2 linked regions of the Kluyveromyces lactis genome follow. The protein of the gene in region 2 binds, or shares a complex with, the protein of the main gene of each other region. Links are inferred from orthologs where the notes say so. Each region holds a gene or a part of one and is shown on either strand. Other genes may lie near its edges.

What was found.
Region 1: NSP1 (region 2) and SEH1 share a complex: the UniProt entries of both Schizosaccharomyces pombe proteins name them as parts of the nuclear pore complex. The link is inferred for Kluyveromyces lactis from reciprocal best matches to the Schizosaccharomyces pombe genes nsp1 and seh1.

What each region holds. Positions count from the first base shown.
Region 1 is NC_006042.1:649,962-653,116, forward strand, and holds SEH1 (Seh1p), read right to left. Parts: upstream 1,549-3,155; coding exon 514-1,548; downstream 1-513. Other genes in the region: ALG7 (UDP-N-acetylglucosamine--dolichyl-phosphate N-acetylglucosaminephosphotransferase), read left to right, coding at 1,840-3,155. UniProt on the Schizosaccharomyces pombe protein: Functions as a component of the nuclear pore complex (NPC).
Region 2 is NC_006041.1:1,040,702-1,044,949, reverse strand, and holds NSP1 (FG-nucleoporin NSP1), read left to right. Parts: upstream 1-1,335; coding exon 1,336-3,678; downstream 3,679-4,248. Other genes in the region: MHP1 (Mhp1p), read left to right, coding at 1-359; NUP192 (Nup192p), read right to left, coding at 3,784-4,248. UniProt on the Schizosaccharomyces pombe protein: Functions as a component of the nuclear pore complex (NPC).

The sequences.
Region 1 (3,155 bases), on a different chromosome or scaffold from region 2:
TACAAAGAATATTAGAAAGCAGAAGTGCTAAGGAACGGAACCAACAATCAGGAACAGCAACGGAACGACAGATTTATCGGCCGGACGATGAAGAACTGTACATTCTGGTAACGGCGTTATAACAGTACTGTAGGTATATCATATAAGATTTTATGATGACACCGGGTATATCTGCATCCTATAAGATTTATAGATTAGTAAACTGTCAGTGTTTATTGCTATGTGTCAAAGCATGCGGAAATGTTCGTTTCTGATGCAATGTATTTCATGTGATTACAAAGCAACGGCTGGATGTGTGCAATTTGGGGCTTAGAACTTAGAATTGATCGGTACATGATAAACTCCAAGCAGGTGAGAAGACGGCTTTAAACCACCAATGTGGCGTACCTTTTAGCTATAAGGTTTCTATTTGTCAGTGTTTAGATTGAATCTCGAACCCTTGATGATATCTGGTCACGTGGTCAATAATTACATACATTTTAACATCACATTATGAAGGGATATATACATAAATCACCTTGCCGCTTGTACCACACTCATACACCTGAACTCGTTCGAGTAAGATGCTTTCCATAACCGAATCTTACCATCATCTCCGGTACTACTTAGGATTGTACCTGTGAGATTCCAAGATACGGACCATACCTCGCCCTGATGGTCTGAATGTTCGCTGATCAGCTCGACGTGAAGGTTAGCCACTGATCCATCTGCATCAATGGCGGAGCTGTCAATGGGTGGGCCATCACGTTCTATGTTTGCATTGTTATCGTTTTCTTCGTTTATAATATTCGTACCGTTGTTACGCGATTCGGTTACTTTGAATATTCTTAATTTCCCATCTTTGCAGCCCGTAGCGATCAATTGGTACCACCTGCCCACTGATGGTGCCCACGCAATGGATCTGATTAATCCAGTGTGACCCTTCAAATGTCCTGCTGGGACCAATTTTCCCTGTTTGTTTCTTTGGTAGATAGTTGCCTGATCCATGGCACTGATAACTAATCTTTCTGTTGAAAATCTGGAGGGACACCAGGACAGACAAAAATCCGATTGTAGATGTGATGCAGGTGGAGTATTTAAGACGGTAATCTCGCTTGTCAGGGTCCATGACCTAAGATCGGAAGACTCTAACGCATCATAAAGACGTAACTTACCATCATTCCCCAATGCAGCTAGCCTTAGTCCCAAATGCGATGGAGCAAATTTTACGCTGAACAACGGTCCTGTCGCATCGTTCAACGTACAAAGTTTTTGCCAACGCTTTCCGGATAACTCAAGGGCATCTGGATCCTCCTCCCATAGTTTGATAGTCTTATCGTATGAGACACTCGCGATGATACGACCAAATTCTGGTGCGGCCCAATCAAGAGACACAATACTGCTATCGTGAGCCTTCCAACTTTCGCTCAATTCCCACTCATTCGTTTCCTTGTCTAGCTTGAACACCTTGATATGTTGGTCGCTGGAACATGTTGCGACTCGACGACCGTAAAAGTCATAACTAATATCGTGCACTAGGTCTGAGTGTCCTGTCAAAAACGGTTTCATGATGATAAAAGATTTTATCGGATTTACCACTAGATTGGTCGATAGAATAACTTCAACCTTCAAAGCCGTGAAGTGTAGATATCTCTCAACTCAGCTCAACTCTCTTTCCCTCTATCATGCAACTTTTAGCTTTCGTTTTCGAAAAGTTCGAAGTTCAATGTTTAAAGGATTCATATATATCGAAAATCAAAACACAATAATTTAAGAAAGCGCTTGGCATTTTAAATGCTAAGCTAAAAAAGTGCTTACTGAAGCTTTATATATAGCCAGTACCAGCTCAGGGAATGAACCATGCTTTCTTATTTTTTGCTACTGTTTGCTATTGCAATAATTGTATATTTTAAAGATGTATCTCCTATCGGATCTGCAGTAGGGTTTTCTGTAATTGGCTACGTGGCAGTTGATGTATTGATCCCACAAGTAGGTGATTCCTTCATCAAGATTGGTTTATTTGGCAAAGATATGAGTAAACCTGGTAGGCCAGTGATTCCAGAAACAATTGGATCTGTATCTGCTACAGTGTATTTGTTTATCATGTTCTTTTCGATTCCTTTCATGTTTTACAAATATTTGGTGATAACCTCTGGAGGTGGAAATAGAGATCTGGTTTCTCAAGAATCGACGGAGGAACAGCTATTCCCACATAGTAAGTTAAGTGAATTTTTAAGTGCACTTTTATGTCTTGAATCCACGATATTACTAGGTGCTGCTGACGATTTGTTTGATCTTCGCTGGAGACATAAATTCTTCCTACCAGCAATTGCTGCGATTCCATTACTTGTAGTCTACTATGTTGATTTTAGCGTTACCCATGTTTTGATCCCTAAGTTTGTACAAGAGTTAATTGGTACAAGCAAGACATCCATTGATTTAGGCGCTTTCTATTACTGCTATATGGCTTCGGTCGCCATTTTCTGTCCAAATTCAATTAATATATTGGCTGGTGTCAATGGACTTGAAGTTGGGCAGAGCATTGTCCTAGGCCTAATATTTATGATTAATGATGTGTTGTATTTAACTATGGGTGTGAACGGACATGCTCGTGAATCACACCTATTCTCACTTTTATTGATCGTCCCATTCCTCGGAGTCTCACTAGCATTGTTCAAATGGAACCGCTGGCCTGCAAAAGTATTTGTCGGTGATACTTACTGTTACTTCGCTGGTATGGTTTTCGCTGTAGTCGGTATTCTTGGACACTTCTCGAAGACTACGTTACTATTCTTTCTACCACAAATCTTCAATTTCATCTATTCAGCTCCACAAATATTCGGATTGGTGCCTTGCCCAAGGCATAGACTACCGAAATTTAACGAGAGTGATTGGCTAATGTACACATCACGAGCAGATCTTATAAAAGAAAAACCGAAGCCAGTAATGCAACCGATATTGAGACTTTTGCACAAATTGCGATTAATCGATTTGAACATCGATCCCAAAACAAATACAATTTTAGATTGCAGTAATATGACGTTAATCAATTTAATGATTGTGTGGTTTGGGCCTATGAGGGAAGATAAGCTATGTTACTCTATACTCGCGCTGCAATTCATTATTGGAATATCTGCGATATGTCTAAGACATTTAATTGGATCACTATTATTCGG
Region 2 (4,248 bases):
CACCATTAACTTCACAATCTGCGACAGCTTTAACTTATCCGAAGAAACTAAACACCTTACTTTCTTCATCGAAATATGCTTCCAGTGGCCACAGCGCTTTGTTACCCTTCCATCAACCATCTGTAGAATCATATGAACCTGCAGATGACGAGGTGGCACTAACATACACGAGCGGTGAAGTGCAGAACGAAGCCAAAGAACAGTTGAAAGAAGAAGGTGATGTTTTGAGGAAAAGTAGAGGATTAATGAATGAACTACAAAGTACCGCTAACAAACGTGGCCAAGAGCTTAACACAGATATTTTGAGAAGGGTTGGCGAAAGATTTGATAGTGAACATATATCAAAGACGCCCTTTTGAAACAAGATATATCTAATATTATGTCACTCCTTGATGAATTGAACAATCAAGGAATTCCCATTGACGAAATTTTCAAGAAGAAATCAGATGACAAAAAACCAACTGCTTCTAGTTCCTCTGTCGACCAAAGTTCTAATACGGTCGTAGGAGTTGAAGCCAATCTGCAGGAGAAGAAAGGTGATGGGTATTCTGATAGCGATTATAGTAGCGAGGAAGAAGTACAGCAAGAAGAACAAATGGACCGCGCGTTTGACGAAGTTTTAGACACTCTAGCACATTCAAGAAAGACCACGCTTGCGAAATCAAATAATTCGCCAGGCTCAACATAGCAGCACCCAATGCACATAGCCCCCAAAGAGAATACAAATTACATTCCGTCTAAGAAACGTGGAGAATTGTAGACATGAAAACCACAAACTAATTCGAGGGGATACGTCTGCCCCTACTTTCACCTCTCTTTCTTTTTTTTTCAAAAGGAACTTTAACCTAATGCATTGAGATATACGAGATGATCAAAAACACAAATATGATGCCTTACTCTTGGATCAAATTACCCAGAAAGTTGGTAATGTGATTTATAGTTCCTAGGAAAACTCTATTCCATTGTTAACCGTTATTGATATTGGAGGAGAGAATCGAAAGACATAAAAGCCATCAAGCTCGGTTTACTCCGATTGAATTCTGTACATTATATAAATCTTACTATACATTCATTATAATATTAGGAAATAAACTTTAAAACAGAGCTTACTCTGGCTAGTCAAGCTTTATATGTCCATCCGTATATGCATCATATCAAGGTTACCCTCACTCAAATTTTTTGGACCTTGTTTCTTTCTAAAATCGAAAAGATCATAAAACTCGATATGATTAAACAATAAACTGAAAATTGTATACATAATGGCAAACGAATTGGTTTGAATAGGCATAGCTAGTCTATGAAGTGGACAATTACAAGGGTTCGTTAATCAACAAAATGAGTTTCAATTCAAACCCCACTTTCAACTTTTCTACAGCGGGAAATGCTTCCGGTGGGAACAGCAATTCCAATTTGTTTGCCGGTACTGGATCAGGACAAAATGTATCTACCACAGGAAACACCAGTACCAGCACAGGTGCTTCCTCTCTCTTTGGCAATACTGGAGGCCAGACCAGTGGCAATGCTTTTGCAAGTTTCGGTTCAGCTGCTGGTAGCTCTAATACGCAGCAGGGAAATGCATTTTCAGCGTTTGGAGCGACCACTACCAATGACAATGGACAAACAAAACCTGCATTCGGAGGCTTTGGTATGAATACACAACAGGGCGCTAATGCAGTCAAGCCAGCAGCTTCGCCATTTTCGTTTGGTGCCTCTAATACAACTGCTGGTACAGGCGATGCACCAAAACCTGCTTTTGGAGGTTTTAACGCAAACGATGCTGCCAGCAATGCGAACAATAACAACAGCAACACCACGAATACAAGCGCAGCAAAACCAACATTTGGTGGCTTTGGCTCCGTAGGAGCAGCAGGAAGTAGCTCTTCGCTATTTGGCGGGTCGCAACAGGCTAAAGACACTCAACCCAAGAGTGGATTCTCATTTGGTACACAACCTGAACAAAAGACCGATGCAAAGCCCGCTTTTAATTTCGGACTATCTGGAAATAATGCAATGACTACAACTCCGAGTGTCAATGCCTCTAAACCAATATTTGGTGCCAATACAACTTCAACATCAAGCTTCACAACTTCCGCTAAACCAACTGAAACCTCGAAACCTAATACAAATGCCACATCACTCTTTGGTGGGAACCACACTGATACAAAACCAGCCGGTGCTACTTCAGGGTTCAACTTTGGTTCTGCCGCTGGAGATGCCAACAAGCCAAGTTTTTCGCTAAGTCTGGGATCAAAACCTGAAGAAAAAACCTCAGGCGCAAAGACAGGATTCTCATTTGGTTCAAAAACGGAGGACAAGCCTACAGATGCTAAACCAGCATTTTCTTTCGGAGCAAAGCCCTCTGGGACAGAACAAGCCGGTAAGCCAGCCTTCAGCTTTGGATCAAAACCAGTGGCTCCTGAACCCTCTAAACCTTCCAATGACAAACCAGAAAGTAAACAGGGTTTTGCATTCAATGTTAAATCTGGCAACAGTAAAGAGGAGACCAAAAGTGGATTTTCTCTGGGATCTAAAACAGAAGAATCTAAACCTGCCTCTAAAATGGGATTTTCTCTGGGATCCTTGAACACGAATGCTGACGATACCGAATCCAAGCCTGGGTTTTCTTTTGGCAATAAGACTGAAGATACCAAGTCAGCTTCCAAAGCGGCCTTTTCGTTCGATAACAAGACTGACGGGTCAAAGTCAGAATCAAAACCATCTTTTGCTTTAGGGTCCAACACCTCAGAAAATAAAGCCGATCCTAGCCCCGCATTCTCGTTAGGAGCGAAACCTACCGATAGCAAATCATCTGATACTAAGGACGATTCGAAGCCTGCATTTAGCTTTGGAAGTAAACCTGCCGATAGCAGAACATCTGACACTAAGGTTGATTCAAAGCCTGCTTTTAGCTTTGGAAGTAAACCTGCGGAAACTACCGCTTCCAAAGACACGAAAACTGAAGCTCCTTCCTTTTCTTTGGGCGGTCTGAAACCGGATACTACCAAAGAAACAACTGAAAGTGCTAAGCAGGAAACTACAACTGGAACAAAGACATCTACTAAACCCGTTACTATCGAACCTGTTTCCCTCGACAATAAGACTTTGGATGACTTAGTATCAAAATGGACCTCCCAACTTTCTGGAACCGCAGATCACTTTGAGAGTTACGCCAAGAAGATAAATCAGTGGGACAAAGTATTAATGCAAGGTGGTGAACAAATAAGTCGGTTGTACTCTGATACATTAACTGCTGAACAATCTCAAAATAGAGTAGATCAGTCTCTCTCATATATCGAAAGACAACAATCTGAACTTGAGTATTTCCTCGATTCTTATGAACAAAAGGCTGAAGATCTGCTATCTGAGGTGCTTTCTTCGAGCAACAATAACAACACAAGCAAAACGAATGATCAAAAGAGACAACAAGCCTATCATACAGTGGAAATGCTTGACGACAACCTAAACTCTTTGTCACTAAATCTTTCCTCGTTGATTACCGAAATAAACGAAGTTAGCGAAACGTTCAATAAGGCTACAAACTCAAGCTTCCCTAATAAGGAAGAAAACGCTCAGTTGATCCAGTTATTAAATTCTCACCTAGATGCTCTTAAGTCGCTAGAGAACAACTCTCAGCAACTTGAAGGAAAACTCAAGACGTTGACGAAGTCTCAGAAATGATTTTTTTTTTTGACCTTGAGGTTAATACTATGATAATCTATATATTGAAACCTATGTACTTTGCTGGTTCAATCTAATAATCATGTAACCATATTGCCCTGATCGTTATTGCGCTCCAGAATAATTTGTCAGTGTACAAACCAAAATGATGAGTTGAACAAATTCTTCAAGTCCTTCTGGTTTGGTTTCAACTCCATTCTTTTCAAGTAATGCATCTCTCTTTAATGCGCCTTGTACCAATTGCTTGAAATGAGATATCAATTTTCTTGCCTCACGGAAAACGTATTGGCTTGATGTTCCTGAGCTGAGTAACACTGACGCAATCAACTGGAAGATGGGTATAATGATTTCAAAGAGCGAAATACCATTTTCGTATGATGTAATCTGGAGAGGGTTATCTAAAGTTAGATTCGCACGGATTTTTCCGGAGGTTGCAGCACCAACAGATTCAAACATCAATTCTAGTCCAAGATCTGGATCCATTTTCAAGAAGTTACACGACGTAATAGTTTCAAACAATTTCTTTTGAACTAAAGCATGAGAACCAGCCTTTGTTTGAGCCAATTTTGT